4 linked regions of the Drosophila melanogaster genome follow. The protein of the gene in region 2 interacts with the protein of the main gene of each other region in a pairwise test. Each region holds a gene or a part of one and is shown on either strand. Other genes may lie near its edges. The genes, in order: Mob2, CG15580, Mondo and Polr2M.

Evidence for each region.
Region 1: the proteins of CG15580 (region 2) and Mob2 interact in a two-hybrid assay, tested with the Drosophila melanogaster proteins (one large-scale study listed by BioGRID).
Region 3: the proteins of CG15580 (region 2) and Mondo interact in a two-hybrid assay, tested with the Drosophila melanogaster proteins (one large-scale study listed by BioGRID).
Region 4: the proteins of CG15580 (region 2) and Polr2M interact in a two-hybrid assay, tested with the Drosophila melanogaster proteins (one large-scale study listed by BioGRID).

What each region holds. Positions count from the first base shown.
Region 1 is NT_037436.4:11,550,059-11,554,998, reverse strand, and holds the start of Mob2 (Mob2), read left to right. Parts: upstream 1-1,886; 5' UTR 1,887-2,169; intron 2,170-2,305; exon of another isoform or gene 2,306-2,460; intron 2,461-4,940. UniProt on the Drosophila melanogaster protein: Required for the normal morphogenesis of a variety of polarized outgrowths including epidermal hairs, bristles, arista laterals, and dendrites.
Region 2 is NT_033777.3:6,054,171-6,059,330, forward strand, and holds CG15580 (uncharacterized protein), read right to left. Parts: upstream 3,367-5,160; 5' UTR 3,321-3,366; coding exon 3,010-3,320; intron 2,885-3,009; coding exon 2,039-2,884; intron 1,818-2,038; coding exon 1,238-1,817; intron 1,130-1,237; coding exon 635-1,129; 3' UTR 542-634; downstream 1-541.
Region 3 is NT_033779.5:21,307,000-21,311,580, forward strand, and holds the start of Mondo (mondo), read right to left. Parts: upstream 3,052-4,581; 5' UTR 2,940-3,051; exon of another isoform or gene 1,940-2,939; 5' UTR 1,789-1,939; coding exon 1,289-1,788; intron 1-1,288.
Region 4 is NT_033777.3:19,227,475-19,231,370, reverse strand, and holds Polr2M (RNA polymerase II subunit M), read right to left. Parts: upstream 1,909-3,896; 5' UTR 1,874-1,908; coding exon 1,728-1,873; intron 1,661-1,727; coding exon 943-1,660; intron 887-942; coding exon 644-886; 3' UTR 539-643; downstream 1-538. Other genes in the region: unc79 (uncoordinated 79), read left to right, coding at 1-510; CG5250 (uncharacterized protein), read left to right, coding at 2,144-3,079; CG11703 (uncharacterized protein), read left to right, coding at 3,264-3,896.

The sequences.
Region 1 (4,940 bases), on a different chromosome or scaffold from region 2:
TGGGCACAAAGCAATTCGAGTAATGGCAAATGGCAGCAGTTGAACCGCTAGAAAGCAGCCGAGCGTTACCACCTTTTGGAGCAAGTGAGATGGTTGCTGTGCTGTGTGGGTGGAAAGAGAGGGCCATAGAGTTGGCGGTACGGATCAGATGTTCCATTACACGCTTCGTGTGTGTGTGTGCGCAGCATAGTGTGGATGAAATTTTGATGTGGTGCAAATGAACTTGCCGCCGTTTCGGTTGCATTGCGGGCGGTCACAGGTGCGCGTTCTCTGCTGCCAAGATTCCTTTTCCTCTATCCGCTTCTCACCTTTTCGCCCCAGTCGTATTTGTTCTTGTTTTTCTTCAGCTCGTCAATGGACAGCTGTTTTGAGATACACTCGAAAAAAAGTGTATTAATGCAATTGTCTAGTAAATTTAAAAATATAAAATAAGTTTATGTGGGTTGGTACTGTTGTGTTTTTGTTAATCATTCTTTTTAGTTATTCGCTTAATGAATACCACACATGTCGGTCCAAATTTATCTAAGTGCATTGCGTGTTCCTGTTTTCAACTTTATTTACGCAGAATGACGATGCGTTTATATTATGTTTTCTTATTCGGGTCTAGATTCTGTGTAAGTTAGGCAGCAAATGCAGTTCCTGTGTTCTTCGGTTTTCGTCTACCGCTCCATTCTATTTGATTACTGATTTTATTTCTTCCTGGCCGAAAAAGAGCGTGATAATTACTCCCTGTGGAGAGATTTGATGGTCAGAGGAGTAGCTATTTCATGCGGGCTTGGGGTCACTTCATTGATAAGAACCACGTAGCTGGAGGTCCTTACCATCGAGAATAACAAATTGGAATATATCTTTAATTCTTTATTTTCTGTTTTCCTTTCAGGTGAGTGAAATATCTTGAGCATGAGCTTACCCAAATCCCAGGTAATTTGTTTAAGTCAATTAGAGCAGTCATTTTAACTGAGAAAAAAATTATAACATGCTTAGAGTATTAAACGTATTAAATAAATGTTTAGCGCTTTAACAAAACTCTATGATGTTTTAGTTGAACAGATTGTTATCAAGCCAATTAGTGTTCTTGGTAAAAGTACATAAGTGATGTGATGTTTGCGTCAATTGTACGAAATTGTGTTAGCCATTAAATTTGCCGAATTTATTTCGTTTACCTGTGATCATTAAAACCATGTGTTAATGAATCAACAATGGCAATATATTTATGAGAAATCCATTTAAATGTTTCATACGAACGGTACAATTATCCCTTTTCGTGGAAAATTAATTTCTAATTGTTATTTATAGAGTTTATCCTAGGTTTGTTCAATGCGTTAAAAAAGTAGTAGATTCTGCTACTATTCTACTGCCACTTTGCCGTGTTCTCTTGTTACCGAGCTGTGTGGCAACGCCAGCGCAGTCAGCTGCTGAGCATCAAAACATGAGCGCTCAGCTGATGCGAGAGAGCGTAGAAGAGAGAGGGCTAAAGCCAAAGCAGTCAAACAAGTGGTCGAAAACCGTATAGATGTGCGTGTCTCGCTTGAGTGGCGCATTTGTATGCAAAACACGTACACGGGCAGCTCTCTCCCGCTCAGCTGGTATTTGATACCTCTAGCTCTCTTCCTCGCGCTCGAGCGGAGAGCAAATGTTGCTGGTGTGCGAGACAGCAGCAACATCAGCAGCAACAATAACAACAACAGCAACCACTTCATCTTTACTGTGTGCTCTGCTTTCGTTGCCAGTTTTGTGTTTTTGCTTTTGCTGCCTTTTTTCTCTCCTTACTTGCGTGAGTGTTGATGTTGCCGCTGTGTGTTGCTGTTGTTGCCGCTGTGTATGTGTATGTGTTGCTGTTGCCAGCCGAACGAGCAGCAGTCAGTCAAAGACGGACGGCTTGGCTCAGTGTAGAAATTTCCTTTGGCACGCTTGGTCGCTCGAGCGGTTGCAGGTCGTCGTCAATAGTGGACTGTTGATGTCGCCGCGTCATTATTTGACATTGTTTTTCGAGGCGCCGCCGTCGGTTGCAACCACACATCATCGCGTCGCAGTTAAAAGCAAAACAGCAACTCCAGCAGCAAGCAGCGCAACATTTGCAACATCAATTGCCACCGTGAAATGCTATGCTAGATTGTGAAATAAAATCGCCTACCAATACAAACTAATATCCCGAAAAGGGGAACAAATGTAAGCCGAAAAGGAGTCTGTTCTCCAACAAAAAAAAAAAGAAAGAAAGAAAAGAAGTTCTTCTCTGTGTGTGTGCTAGTGTTTTCCCGTGCTGGTGTGAAACTGTGTCATTCGCTGCGAAAAACTGCATTCAAGTTTTTCCTCAGAGCCGCGACTGCTGGCGTGTTATTGTTGCTGTTGCAGCTAGCTGCCACGGTTTGTTGCTTCACTGATTACGCGCAATGCAGCAACAGCAGCAGCAGCAGAAGCAACAGCAACTAACTGCAGAGGAGCAATAGCAGCTGAGAGTTCAGTTGCGAAACCGGCGAAGCGCGACTGTTGCCAATGCAGCGCTTAGAATTGGCACACCAGCAACAACTGCAACGCTGCAGCAAAGCTGCTACTCCAGCGTCAGCAACAACAACGGTACATTGGGCATTCACAATGTTGCTTGGTGTGCCACTGCCACTGCCACTCCACCACTACTTGTTCCTCCACTGCCATATTGTTTTAACCACTTCCTTTGCCGCAGCGGCAGGAACTTCCTTCCTCACGAGCTTCCTGTCTGTTCGTCCGCTTGTCTGGTTGTCTGCCCTGCAACCCTCAACCCTCCCTTATTAACGCCCCCTCACACTCAACTGCATTGTCAGGTGTTTTCTCTGCCACACAGAAAGAAATGGGGGTATTGTTAGGGTTCATTTGACAGTTTTCACAAGAATTATTTAAAGATAGGTTTTTATGGAATATATCCTTATTCAAACTGCCTTTAAATACCTTCTAAAAATAAAAAGAGTGAAAATCTTAAAATAATGATATATCTTATTGGGCCTAGAGTATTTCCTCTTTTTTCCGTGCACATCCTGGTTGCGTTGTTTCTACTTTTTGTCAACCCCGTTGACGCGCCTACGTGTTCAATACGCTGAGAAAACAACAGTTACGAGTGGCTCAACCAGCAGCTTGTTATTTCTCACACCTTTCGTCCAGACCCCCCGCGCCTTCCTACCACTGCCCCTCGCCAACCCTTTGGGTCCTCAAATGCGCTAGGCCATCCATCGATTTTTTGAGGTCATGCTAAAAATTGCAAAGCCAACTGGAACTAGTTGCGGATTCCCATAGTTGAATTGCCATGGACAATTTGCGGAAGGCAGAGGAAATGAAATTGATTCAAGCCTTTGTGGTGCGATATTATCTAACCGAATTCGATTCGTTTTCTGTGTAGGCCCTTCTGTGTTGCGGATGTTAAGGATTTATGTAAGCTCAGGAACTAATTAGGAAGAAGCACTATGATATTTATCCAAACTAACAATTTTAGTTCGATATATAATGGTATAGAAAAGTATCTATGTACTATTTGCGATTGAACGTTTTGCCCCCGTTATGAAACACTTTTCTCACGGTATTTCCCCATTAAGCAATTCCAGCAAAATCGTATAGATACTAATTTAGTAACTCAGCAATCGCATTTAATCGAATTCATACATATGCATTTCGGTTCTATTGGGACTGTTTTCATTCGACGTGTATCTCAATCGATCGTTTAACCCATATGAAAAGGATAGTCACAGTTATAAACGCTGTCGGATGAATCTCTGGTAACTGGGTTAGTTAGCGACCCGAAAACTTCTCTGCGCCTTTCCGCCGAACCGTTATGCCATATGTATGTATGTATGATGCTCTGCCTGCCCGCCGGTCAGCTCTTCCAGACCAAACCAAACCAAAATGAAGCGAACAGAACAGAACAACCCAAACCAGCTCGAAGATATATATGGATGGGTTTTGTACGGCTTGGCATGGGGTTTGGTGGTGGGGGTACGGAGATACACCTATCTACTATGTATATCATGTCATCCATTGCATGTGCATCGCACATCTCACGTCACCGTACCGCTGCACAGCTTCTATCTCCCTTTCCATATCTGCTGTCGTCTTCCTGCTCGTCGTTTGCCAGTTGTGGAACTCGTTTTCATTTCTTTCGTTAGCAGACATAGACATAATTCTCCAGCTTTTCTAGCGAGCAAAGGGGGTGGGGGTTCATTTTCGGTTTCGGTTTCTATTTTTTTTTTCTCTCTTTCGACTTTGCCAATCGCTCATTTGACCTTTAACGGGTTGTGCTGCATATACATGAAAAGCACACTCAAATCGGCAACAATTAAGCTCATTCAAAACGCGAGCAATGGGCAATCTAAGAAAAAAAAAACACTCGCCGTCGCGTTGCTAGAATCACATCATAAATTTCGGTTTTGATGGGGCGCCAGTTGTTCTGTGTGCGGAGGTGTGAAAACGATACTAGAAGGGGGGCGCACAAAAGACAAAACTCGTTTGGGGGGAAAAGACAACAGAGTCAGCAAATTGGCTTCAATGCGAGTTGAAGGTTAAGTGCGACAGCGACGCGGAAATTGAACATTTTGGATATTGGAATCAGTAGCTGGTTTCGAGCTGAATAAACAAAACAATAGGCATTAACCCCTTTTCTGTCATCTTTCGATTTTTCGTACTTTTTTTTTAGCACGCACTTCAGACCATTTTATTGGCTTCCTAGTATTGTCTGCAAGCAATTAAAAGTTTTTGCTTTAAGCTGCACAAAGAGTTTCATGAGAAATTTGGGATATTAGTTTCGTAAAGTTAAAATTTAAAAGCACAAAAAATATAAAAAATACTAACAGAACGAATTAGTTTTACATTGAAGAAAGAGGATCTTCATATCAATAGAAAATCAAAGATCGAAATGTACAGGGTACCTCTTTTTGCTTATATAATATACCATTTTCAATGATTTCGTATCTACTCAGATA
Region 2 (5,160 bases):
TATCTTGTTTAGAAAAACTTTAAAAGAAATGAAGCCTTCCAATAAAATCACCGCTAGTTAACATTGGAAATTAAGTCTTCAAATGAAGTAATATGAATTGAAAAATTCTTTTAACTAAAGTGTTAAAAGGATTTAACATGCTGTTTTTAGGACTGGTGTTTTAAGTGCTTTCTAGTTTGTTTTATCAACATGGAAATTATACTATTTTTTCCGAGTGTACGCCCACGATTTTATGGAATTGACTGTGGAGCTTGGAAGGCAGAAGTAGCCAGGGGAAGTGGCATTAAATTGGAGACACTGTTGCCCAAATCTCCGCTGCTTAAATGCAAACTGCTCAACTTTGTTGCACTTGCTGTGCTCTGCAATGACCTTCGGTCGAGGTGTGGCCCCCGGAATTGTGGGCGTGGCTCCAAGGCGAACACGTTGCCAGCGACTTAATTAGATCTCAGTTTATGCCAGCGCGGCACTTTATGGCGAAGGTTTAAAGTGACCATTAGGTCGAATGACATTCCAAGCCCTCGAGAATGATAGGGACTATGTTGGACTGCTAAGTGGTGCGTTTAATGCTTTGAAAATATACTCAGAGTACAATGTTATGCAATGTACAATTGTAGGTGGTGAAAAGGGCTACAAATTAGGGAGTTTTGTTCCTTTGCAGGTAGAAAAAGCGATTGCCAGGGCCTGGCAGAAAGACAGACTTCCGGAACTGGTCCAGATCGAACTTGTTGGGTTCGAAAACAAATGGTTCTGTCTTTCCATTTTGAGAGGGGTGCGAATCCTTTGAAGTGTGCGATTCCCTCACTTCAGGCGCTGTCGGCTGGTTCCACCGAGCCAACATTGCCCAGATGTCGCCCTCCTCCTCGACCTCCTTCTTCTCAACGACCACCTCCGGAATGGATTCCTTGCTGGAGCTCGAGAACTTCGGCCGCACCTCCGTGCACCCCTTCCGCCGGGCGAAATCCTCCTCGATTCGCTGGACAATCGGATGGCGGCGCTCCTTGACCACCTTACACAGATTCTCGCCGTGGTGGAGGTTTTCATGAATGTAGTTATTCCGACGCACTATCATGTCCACTTCGAATTCCTGGTCGAAGCTCAGCTCACATTCCCGGAAGTCGGCGTATAGGATCTTAGGATAGGAATGTAAGTTCAATACTCAGTTAAAAATGATCTTCAGCACCCCTTTCGCAAAAGTGGTCATTATCAGCGATCCAACCTAATTCAATGTTATACTTACTCGGGTATTCTTTTCCAGGGATCTCAGTATTTGATTCCCTTGCGAGATGCCAATGTTGATGGCGGCCATTTCGAGGCTCATCAGAGGAGTGTGGCTGCGCAGGAGGGTTCCTATATCACGGGAAAACGAACCCAGGGTGGTGTTGATCCCCGAAATGTTGAGGGCCCACACATGGGGGGTTCCGATAATACACGTTATGAGCGAATGCAGGGCCAATTCATTAAGCGGATTGTGAGCCAGGCCCAGATACTCCAAAACCCCCACTTGCGATTGGCTCAACGCCTCGCCCAGCACAATTGCACAATTGGCGCCCAATTTGTTGTGTTCCAGCTGGATACTGCGGTACATCAAAGGGCGCTTTAGCAAATAGGCCAGGCCTTCGCTGCACTCATCCGTCATTTGGTCATAACCAAAATCCACCTCATCAAGGGTGTCTAAGTTCTGAAGGGCACGGGTCAGGATACGAAACTTCTTCATACTCAGGCGACTGTTTCGAAGCCTGAAGGTCTTGAGGCTCGGTAAGTATTTCAGACCTTTGCTAAGACGAACCATATCACTGTCTGAGAACTTCATATAACGGCTGTAAGGTACAAGTTAAGTTAAGTTTAAGCTAGCAATTTTAATTTAAATGCTGGTGGTAGGCGATGCAGCTGTAGACTCTTGGCGCTTTTAGAACTCTACTTCACATGTATTTATTTGGTTCCATTTATCTCAGAGAAAACATGTTATACAAATCGTGTACAGCACGTTTCACTTCTTCGATGTTGTTTCTTACCATAACATTCTAATTTAAGAGCTTACCTTTGATAGTCTTTTACATCAGGTGGTCCCAAAAACTCCAGCGTCAGAGACATCATATTTTCAAAATATCGTACAAATCCCAGATCAATGTGATGACAATGGTCCTCCGGATAGTCATACCGCTTGATCCGCTCCAGCAGCAGCTGCTTGTTGCGCTTGTCCGGTTTTGTGTCCTCGTCATCACCTTCTTCTGGAGCAACGTTTATGCTGAACACGTCTCGAATGGGCGGTTCCTTCTTCTTTTTCTTCTTTTTCTTGCCCGATTGATCCGCATTCTTCAAGGCGTCCAGTTTCTCCTGGCGCTTCCTCTTGCGCTCCTTGCGATCCTCCCGTTTCCTAGCAATGGCATCCCGAGCCTGCTGGCGGTTGGCGTTGCGCAGATGTCGCGCATTCCGGCGAATTGTGTCCTCGTTCTCGGTTTCCGCACGCCAGAAAGTAATAGCTGCCTCGCTGCTGGAACTACTAGACTTGTGCTCCTCCTCGCCCTCGTCCATTTCCGTATCCGGCTCATCGCTAGATATCTCCTCCTCGTCGGATGACTCCGAGGATATATCCTCTTCAGGCTCGCTCTCCAAGTGCTTAATGAAGGCATAGTCGGGCAGAGCTTGCAGCTTGCGGATGTGCATGGAGTTGACATACTGCCAAACAATTTCAGCCAACTGAGCCAGCCTTCTCTGCGGCTTCACGTTCACAGGACATGATTCAACCTGCTCCACAAACTTCCGGCTCACACCCTCAGCCTTCCAGTCGAACTCGTTCCAGCGCTTCAGGTGCAACGTTTTGTCCAAAGTCTTGCTTAGTACGACGCGTCGCCAAAATCGTTGATCCTCGATCAAATAGCAATCTCTTTGAAATATATATAAAGTTATTAGGGTTTGTAACCATAGTAAATAACGATATAAAGTTAGTGGCGTCAAATGTTAAATTATAGGTTATGTAATGAAAATACTTGTATCCGTTTCGTTACATACCTCAAAGGCAGCTCCACATCCAGTGCGTCGTAAAATATCCTCATAAGCTGGGGACTCGCCTGCAAAGTTGGAGATATGCCTCGAATGCCCAGCTTGGCCAGACTCTTTACGCTCAGATTGACTAAAGTGTTCAAGTTTCCCTCTATAAAGGCCTCCGCAAAAATCTCGCGATTCCGTTCGCTGTATAGGTTCAAGGTCTGATGAGAGGGCTTAAAAAGCTCATATGTGGCCAGAAGGAGGGGATCGGTGGGAGCCCGGAATTTCTGAGCATAGTGCGGTTGCACAACCTCCTCATCATCTTCAAAGTCCATATGGAGTTATTTTCGAGTATGTTTGTTTGTGCGTTGAAAGTCTTTTTTTTTGAAGTTTGTTTCTGAAAGTGATCGATAAGTATAACATGGTTTTAACCCATGTGTTCCAGTGCACCTTAATACATTTATGGAAGTGCCGTTTGTCTATCTTCATACTCCAATGAACATGTTTTATGTTTTAGTTATCTCGCACCTGCCAAACGTACTTCCTCATTAAAAACTGTCCGGTTTTCATTTAAGACACTCTAAATCCCGACCCGAGTGCGTAACAAATGTTTACAACGGCTAATTTAAGAAAACTCGCCTAAGATATTTTCCACTTACGGCGCTCTTTAAGCGTTTGCTAATATTTGCTGCTAATGTCTCGCAAGCACTTGCCAAGCACTCGAAGCAAATTTAAATTAAGCTAACCTAATTGAGAAGCGAAGAGCAGTTTCTTTTTGTGGCCAGCCCCGCTTCGCCCGCCCCGTTCCATTCCGTTTTGGCCAATATTCAGCGCTTTGTTTTGATGGCGAAGCTGCCAGGAGCTTCACCTTGCCGGCTATTTTTCTACCTAATGAAATAAAAATAGATGTTGTTAGAGCTGCTCGCTGAGTGTGCTCGTCCTGTCCGGGTGCCTTTGTGCCTGGATCGGAGATGGCCCCCAGTTTGGAAGTGGTTTCCATAGTGCATGTAGCTGCTCCTGCCAACAAAGACGCTGCACTTAAGAAAACCAAACGACTTTGTATCAATTCTTGTGACCAGGACATATAAAATATTTATATTTTTAATGCATATTTATTATTATTTAATTATAGTGGTACTGTTGATAAGCTATAATATTTTCCCGGAAGAGCTGTTACTTCCTACCTATGTGGGCTATATTCCAGGATGTATCATATAATAAAATGTTTAGTTTTAAAGTTGTAAGGAAATAATTTGGCACGGTGTGCACCTATAGCATTCCTGGCTCTGCAAAGCTTTGTGAATATGCTCAACTTGGAGTATTTCTTCAGAGCAAGTGGAGGAGCCCCAGGTCCCCAGCTCCCAGTACAAATTAAGTGCATGCCAGGACGAAATTCGCCATCCAGCCCACCACTACACACAACACAACCACCGACATCGTCGTTGGTCCTTTTCTGTGAACGACAACTGCATTGCTAAGTGGAAGTTCGACCATGACTTTTGCTTTCGCTTCGTCAATCACCTTTTTATCTGGAAGGACATTACCAAGCCAGCTCAACTCGGATTCGGTCTTACCAACTTGTCCTTCCTCGCATGTCCTTCTCGGACGTGAATGTATGTGTGTATGTGTGTGCCCCAAAATTTATTACAACCTTTGGGAATTCTTTTAAGTAGTTGCTCGATTCAAAATAATTTTCCATTTATCACCGTGATAACAAAACAGTTTTCCCCCAGCCGCAAACCAGAGCGAAAATGGCAAAATAACATCAGAAGCGCGGACATTATGAGTGGGTCGGTGTTAGGTGGAGAAAACTTCACTGCGTGGATGGAGTGTGGATGGGGGCTTGGGGACGGAGGCGTGGCAATGGCTTGGCCAAAATAAAGTGCTCTTCGCAAATCTCGCTGCCGTTGTAGTCGTCCTGGGAGTTGAGCTGAAGACTGGCTGCGGTCGTTAGGGAGTCCGACTTGTCCGACTGGCTCTGATGATAAATGCCGGGCAGCAGGTGATTTAAAATAATTTCGGCCAGCGCGCGAAAAGTATATGTTGCCGGCGCTGTTGTTTTCAAATTTTTGAAATTTACGAGCTGCCGTTCGTCTCACGGCAGAGTTTTGCCTTTCCCCTGAGGCGAAAAGACCAAAAAGTTGGCGCGATTGCTTAACATGTTTGCAACACTGG
Region 3 (4,581 bases), on a different chromosome or scaffold from region 2:
TGGTAAAAAGTTTTGTTGTAAATGGATAGAAATGTACAAGACTAATTAAAAAATGAAAAAATTATTCAAAAATGTGGGCGTGGCAGTTTTGGGCGGTTTAGGGCGTTAGAGTGGGCGTGGAAAACAATTTTTTTCCAAATCGTTAGAAATTTACAAGACTAATAAAAATGTGAAAAAATATGATCACGTTTTTCAAAAGTGTGGGCGTGACAGTTTTCAGCTAGTGTTAGAGTGGGCGTGGCAACATGGCTAAACAAAGTTGCGGTTTTAACTTGGCTAAACTTCTAGATTTTATAGGGTTCCTGAGATCTCGACGTTCAGGCGGACATGGCTAGATTGACCCAGCTATAGATCCTGATCAAGTCGGAAACGCCCGTTGCATACTTTTCAACTAATCTAGTATCTAGAATCGTAGAGTAGAAGCGTATAACAATTACGTTGTTCTCTCTTTTAATATGTTATTTAGACAAAAAAAGCGTTTGGAAATGTCTTTCCATCGAAACTTAACACCATCAAAACAACCGGCGGGCGTGCAAAATGAAGCATGTTATAAATTTAAATTTATATTTTTCCTCGTGTATATTGTAGTCGCTAAAGCGCATCCAGGAGAACGCACACTCTCCTAGAGCACTTAGTCACTTAGTGAAAAACAACAATGAAATCACATGGTCGTGAAAAATGTAAGGAAATCCGAATTCGTAGTTATTAACAATACGCGTATATATATGGATCATACAAACAACTACCGTAGCTGTTTTATAGTGACTAAAAACCATCATTATAACAAACAAATTTAAAATTTAAAACTGTATAACACTTTTTTTAAACAAATCCTTTTCGTTCTTTAAAAAAAAACAAAAAACAATAGCTTCACAATTCAGATTTTTAGTTGATAAGGTCTCAGATAATAATATGTTGTAAGCAAATTGCATTTCATTTTGCAAAATTAATTCATTCTGATATTGCTTTGGCAATACTTTAATATTTTCTCTATGATTGCGCTGTCGTTTGCAGAAATGGGAGAAGTAACAGAAAGAGGGGTATAAAGGGTGGCAGAGGAGCGATTGAGGCAATGTGGGGCCAAAGTAACCTGAGCAGCGACGTCACGTCTCAACATGTGCCGCGATTATGGGACCGAAGCGGTCCAAGCTTTTTCGTTTGCTGGATTTTCGTTGGCCAGTTGAGCGTTATCACGCTCGAAACGCGTGAACAAGCGGGAAACAACATTTCATAAATCTTCAGGGCCCCGGTGTTCGGTTGTGGTCTCGAGTACGAGTCTTCAACTCACCTGTAGGCCAGATTCATGCACTTGAAGAGTTTGGTGAGCGAGGTCTCTATCTCCAGGTGGGAGGTCACCATGCTCATGCTGCTCTCGTCGCCCTCCTGGTCCATGGCGCTGAAGTGGGCCACTGTTTGGGGTACGTAAAGCTGCACGTCACGACATGTGTTGGTTGGCTCGCCCGGCTTGCCCAGACCGGGGTCCTCAGGGTCTAGCATCTTCACCTCGCCGTCATCCTCTAGGTCGTCCTGCGCCTCCTCTGCCTCGAAGTGCGAGACCATAAACTGGCCGGAGTGGATAGACTCCCGCTCCGCCTTGAGCAGGTCTGCCGTAGCCTCGGCGGACCCTGACGCCGAAGCACCTACTCCCGTTTCGTACTGCAATTGCTGGAAGTTTTGGCACAGAGACTGTTGCAGATAAGGCTGCTGGTGCAGCTGAGGCAGCTGGTGCTGCTGGTGGGGAAACATTTGGCTTGTGCGTTGGTATCCCTCGTGTTTATTCAGCATCATTTTCAACAGGTGCCAGGGGATGCCTATGCAAATAGTTTACTGTTGAGCCAAAATTTTGGCGGTTGCAGATTATGTCGATATGGCGAGGGCACATTTAATGGTTTTTTAATGTCTCTCGCGTAGTAAAGGCTTTTAAAAGCTGGTGCTGACCCTTTTTTAATTTGGATGGGGTTTTTCCATCATTTCAAAATATGTAAACGTTCGCAGACTATAAAAAAAAATATGTTTTGTCTTGCCTCGTGGTTAACACATTTATTAATTCTCTCATCTAGTGTTTGTCCTTGTCATTCTATTAACTAAATTACTAAAATAAGCGATTATTTGATAGAGACATAGCACGGTTTTAAGATTTTGATTTGTTTACAATGCCCGACACCTTCAGCTTTTCGTCATCGACACCTGTCCAATTGTTGCTTTTTCCGGAGCGAAGCTTCTCTAATGGCAAACACGCCCCGCTTTTGCCGTTATATGCGTCACACAGCACAATAACAACAATTTTCGCACACACACACACACACACAATCGCGGCGGGGTTGGCTGGGGATACGGACGTCAGAACGAGACGTCAGTGGCCGCTTGTAGCTCCTTGAACAGATAGTGAAGCCCCAACTACTCGTAAACACACGCGGATCTGATGGAAGGCCAACAAGGCGGGCAGAACCAGCGCAGAACGATCGGTTTCATTCCACAAACAGAACTGATCGGAGAACGAAGCTGCGAAACGCACATAACCTGTGCGCCGCACACAACACAACAATGAACAGCTGACGCGAAATCTCTCTCTCTCCCTACCTCGCTAGCGTTGCTTATCAGCTAGGAAAACGTACATACATATGTATATGTATGTATGTACGTGTTCTTCTATATGCGCAGATGTCAGGCAGCAATGTTGTCCCCCTCTCCACTATTACTATATGGAGCTCAGTCGATTTGACTCCTGGCATTCGGCCTTGCCATCCAGAGTATGCACTCCACAAGCAGTTCTGTGTTTGCACTTTTGACCTCTGGCTCAGCGCTGCCTTTGCATTTTGCCTTTTTCCGTTCCCACTCATATACACGCGCATGCACGCGCACCACAATTTCGGTACAACTGCAACTGCCCCCTATAGCAGAAACACGGGCAGTTAGCAGGCACGACGGACTACCAATACCACGCACACACGCGCAACACAAAGCTTCTACGTAGTTTAATCACAATATAGCACACATTAACCTATTGCGGGTAGCGAGCCCTCACCATCCCATCAGGGTTGTCAAGCATTTGGTGGCTCTGATAAACAGCACCCTCTTCCTAAAAATGGCTGAAAGCTGCGAGCCGAAAAACGCAAGAATGAGCATAATCACCCCAAACGTAAAGATTGGGAAGGGCAGCATACGAGGTCATATGTTTCCTGCTCCGAAATTGCAATACAATGAATTTAGGACGGCTATTTCCCGTAATTAGTTTCCAGTTTTATGGAATTGCTATTATATCTTTTTCCGACAGCACCTTGAAACCGCATCAATAAAAAGTTAATGCGTTGAGACTAATAGGAAAAACTAGAATATATACATATATTATACTCAAATGTAATGTGTTTTTTAAACATTGTTGTGCTTAAGTAATTAGGAAAAATTATGTAAAATGGATATTTTCCCTTTATGTTCACTATATTGTTTAAGTTAGAGAATAGAATACCCAGAATAAAATTAGTGATCACACATCAAAAAACTATCGATAAACATTGAATTAGTTCCGGTTAAAATTTAATAATAAGTATTCAAACTGCACACCTTGTTACAAAGTAGTGTAACTGCCTAATTCTTTATCAGCAGACTAGAGGATTTCGCACTCCCATGTTCTTTTGCTTAAATACCTTTCTCGGGCTTATATTAGACATTATACTTTCAGAGAATTTTTTCATTTGTACTGTTAGAAGGTTCTTAATGAAATTGCTGTTCAGTTCAAAATTTTTATATAGTCATTTAATAATACTTTACGAATGATTTTGTGCGCTTTAGATTTGTGAGAAAAAGGGGTGGGATTATTTAGTAGAAAGTAGCAAGGCATTTCCCGATCTGGTAACACTGATTCCAACACTCATTACCGTTCCAAATGAAACGCAAAAAGGTTCAATTGTTATTTTCTCTCACGATTTCGGCATTTATATTAACCTAAAGATGGCTCTATAGTTTGCGCGCAAGCAAAAACAAGCAGCACCTAGGTGCCCAAACACAACAAAATGGAAACGTATAAAAATCAAAAGTGAGTATACACCAAGCTAAATTCTCGCTAATTTCGCAATTTATCACGCACACTGCCGCACTTGGCGTTCTACTCATTCATTGTTGCTGCACGTGTGTTGGTGGCATTGCCTTGTATGGATTTTCAATTGACCGGGCGAACGTGGCAAATCAAAACTCAGTGGGGCATGCCACCTGGTAAAGGTAAAGAAATTGGCTGACGCAATCGCCGACTGGAGTTGAGTAATGTGCGTTGCAAGTCGCCTGCACGTGCGAAAATGAGATGACTCACCACAGTAAGGACTACCCCAAGCGGACACAGCCCAGGACAGAGCTGTTTAAACCGGCTGCGCGATTGCAGCTCTACCCTTGCATTCTATATTTACCTAAAATGTTAAAACATAATTACTATATTACTAAGCTAGAGGGGAGAAAGAAGTTTTCAAAAAGAAAATTAAAATCAAAATTTGCGTGCTTAATCTCAACTTTTTTGGTGGTGGACACGGCAATATTGACTCTTGGTAATAAAATGTTAAAAATACATTTATCTTTCATAGTTTTCAATGAATG
Region 4 (3,896 bases), about 13 Mb from region 2:
GCATTCACTCTATGTCAACTGTGGACGGTGTACTTGGAGCAGATGGCCCACAATACCAATAGCAATGCGGAGGGCAGCACGTTAGGCGTTCTTTTTGAGTTCTGGGCAAAGGTGACGCCCTGCATCTTGCAATTGGTGTCCCACGCCAAGCCGACAGTCAATAAGGATCAGCCGCAGACCCCCCTGGACTTTCAGACGCAGAGTGCTAACTCCAAGCTGTCCGAGATGGTCAATCTGCACTTCCTTAGTCTGTTGGAGGCGTTGAAGGACACCAATTCCACAGTGCTGGGCAAACTGCTACCCATGTGGAGCCCCGTACTCTCGTCACAGACGCAACTCTCGGACACTTTGCACGTCCGGTTGCAAAACGTAAGAGACTATGCACCGGACTACGAGGAGCAGCAAACGTACAAGTCGGAGGCTCTGCTCAAATGGCTGCAGCGCTTGCAGTTCAAGATGGGCCAGATCGAGTTGCAAGCCTCCACAGCCACGCAGTTCTATTCAATCTAAGTATTCACAGAGTATACACAGTATAGTTATGTATGCAGTCTTATTTGGTAATTGTTGCCTACGCGAATAAATAGTACACAATGTTTCTTGGAAATCGAATAGCATAGATTCTATCTCATGCTCTGCCCATAGGTTACTCGAACACCGTGTAATGAATGCCACTGGCGGACGATCCTCTGTCTTGAACAGTAGGATCTTGCACTTCATTCGCTTCGCTGGCTTTTTGCCTGCCCTCGATGAGAAAAGTGTCTTGGGGATCACGGTAGTTGCGGAAGGATTCCTTGGTTTTCACAATCGATTCCTCGGGCAGGCCAAGTCGGAGTCGAGAGTCTTTAAGCCTGGCCAGCCGCTGTTCAGCCTGCTGAATGCGAACCTCCTACAAATAAAGTGTATTTAGCATCGAATTATGTAGACCATAAGCAATGAAATTACCTTTACTCTTTGCATGTAATCAATCTGTAACGCAGCCGACTCAGCCAATGGCACCAACTGGGCCTCTTTGTGCTGGATGAGTGGCGGAGTTGCTGCCGTTATTTCCCAATGCTTGCCCTTTTTGCGCACGCGCTCCTTGTCGGGATTGTGGACATTGGACTTGGTGGTTCGGAATGGCATAAACTTTTCCCTAGGAGTATTCACATTTGTTTCCGTCTTATCGATGAGGTAGAGGGCATGCTGATCGGGAGGCAGCTCCCTGCTCAGCTTTGCGGCCACTTGACTGGCGTCGATTTCTACGATCTCGGCAGGAAGGGAACTGGTGTCACTATGTCCTGCCAAGGCGGAATCTGGGGAGTCGGTTGGTTTCTTAAACTCCTCGATATCCGCCAGATCATCTGCCGTAATGAAACTCGTTGGCGGAGGCAAAACCTTGACCTTCTTCTCGTGCATTGTTCCCTGCGCTATAATCCGCAGCGGATCCATCTCCACCTCATCATCGCTGTCCAGAATGTCGTCCACATGGGCGCCCTCGTCCGTGTTTCTGCCATTCCACTCCAGATTGTTGAGAGCAATTTTGCCCTTTTCGACAATGTTGAGACCGCTCAACATTCGAGTCGCTTCCTCTACTTCATCCCGCCTCCTGATCTCGGCCAGTAATTTGTCGTACGACTCCTGCAGACGCTTTCCCTTGTCCGGCAGTTGGTGCAAACGCTTTCTAAATAGAGATAAAATTAAATAAGATAAATTCACAGGGAACTCCACAGGTGGAAACTAAAACTCACTTGAACGACAGAAAGTGAGACTGCCTGTCCTTAATCTCCAGCAGCTGCGGATAGGTAAGGGTCTTCAGGTCCTTGCTGTGCTTCTCCTTCGCCTGGCTGGTGCCCGGGATACGGCTAAGCGGAGCAGGAATCACATTATCGCCCATTTTGGCTCACTTATTTTGCTCATAAGCTTAGTATGACCGTGCTGTGGTTGCGATAAAATACTTAGTGCTGCTACGAAGCAAAGGGCTACAGGAGTTCACTTAACGCCTATCGTTATCGACAAAAAGGCGCGTTATTCAAAAATATACATTAGTGCTTCTGATTTCTGTGCGGAATACATTCCTATATTTCTAATCCACCCCAAGCTAGCTTTCTGAAATCCCTCATATATTTCCATAAGATATAATTAAGTACCCATATATTATTATTCCATGCCTAACGACGCGATAATCTATTCTGGTCCCTACGAATTGGGACGCCTTCGCCGGCGTCGTGATATGCGTGTGGCGGAGTACCTCTACAGGCGTTCCATTCGCACACGCAATGCGGATCCCGAGATGACCGTGTGCCGTTTTATCAAACTGCTGCTCTACTTCATCGGATTCTTTTTCGTTTTGGGCGTATTCACAACCGGATTGGCCCTCGTGATGATTGCGAATCATATATATCCGGATAGGCCGGGATGCAAAAAGTTCCCCGGACTAGCAACCGCACCCGGACACCATGTCGGTGATCAGAAGCAAATTATGTGGAGCCCTAATAACATTAAGGATGTGGCTAACATACAACGCGCGATAATGCGAACGGTGAAACGATACGGTCTCGAAGGCCCGAAGCGCCTGATGGGCTGTAACATAGACGACAGTTGGGGCTATATGTCCGGCACGCCGTGCATTCTAATAAAGATCACCCAGGCATTGGGCTTCCAGGCGGTAACCTACGATGACGCCCTAACGCTGCCCGAGTACGCTCCGGATGAGCTATTCGACTATGTGGTGGGCCTGGGCTCGGAGGAGCGCTTCAACCGCATCTGGGTGTCCTGCCAGGTTATTGAGCCAAGAGTGGACATTCAGTTCGACTACCATCCGGTTCGCTTCTTCGATGCCGAAGAGCTCTTCACCTCCGGCAATGTCTTTCTCAACGAGTCTTCGGACGACGACGGACCTACTTACAAGGAGGATCCCCGCCTCAGGCGCATCATCAGTGTTCGGTTGAGCAACATTCCGATCAACGAGGACATCCAAATCCACTGCAAGGCGTGGGCTAAGAACATACCGCTCCATATGGTAACGGTCAAGATGCTGGTGCGTCTGACGGCACCAGTTCATCCAACCACTCCATTGGTGCTGGACGAGTGGTACGAGTGAGATCAGCTAACTCAGCTGGATTTATTAATGTATTAATAAATACTTAACAAAATAATAAAACTATTTGAGAATTATAGTTTACTCCGCTTTAGATTTCATAGTGAACCGAAGCTACAAGCTTCGAATATTTCCCACTTACGCCCACGTAACCAGTAGCCAAATCAGAACCGGAACGATCGCCACGATGCCGGAGGACGTAATGGTGCCCGCTGGGGACTACAAGCTGGTCAAGCAGATACGCCGGAACCAGGAGACACGTCGCAAGAAGGACCTGCCGTGGTCGAAGAGGATATTCGACATAGACGAGCACAAATTGTTCGGACGCACAGCTCTGGGTTGGATGCGTATCACTGGCTTCTACCTGGTACTATACGCCCTAATCGTGTGCATTGTGGCCTTTTGGTTGGGCATCTTTATGCTGGCCATCATTGATCCGAATAAGCCGCGCTGGCTCAAGGGTCCGCCGGGTCTGTCGATGGTGCCCAACCAGAATCGATCCGTGCTGGCCTACTTTACGCACATCATGAGTGAGGTCAATCCGATTGCGGACCGCATCGACGATTTCCTGAACAAATTGAACGACAATGCCATTGACTTCTTCGCCGATTTCAACCAGGACACTACGTGGGGCTACGCCACCGAAAAGCCGACCGTCTTCATCAAGCTGAACAAGGTTATTGGCTATGTGCCGGAGACCTACGACACGCCAGATGACTTGCCCAAGGAGGCGCCAGCGAGCCTTCAGGACACCGTGGGCAAGCTGGGCAACACGCCCAAGATTTGGATCACCTGCGAGGTGACCAATGGGCCCAAGCCC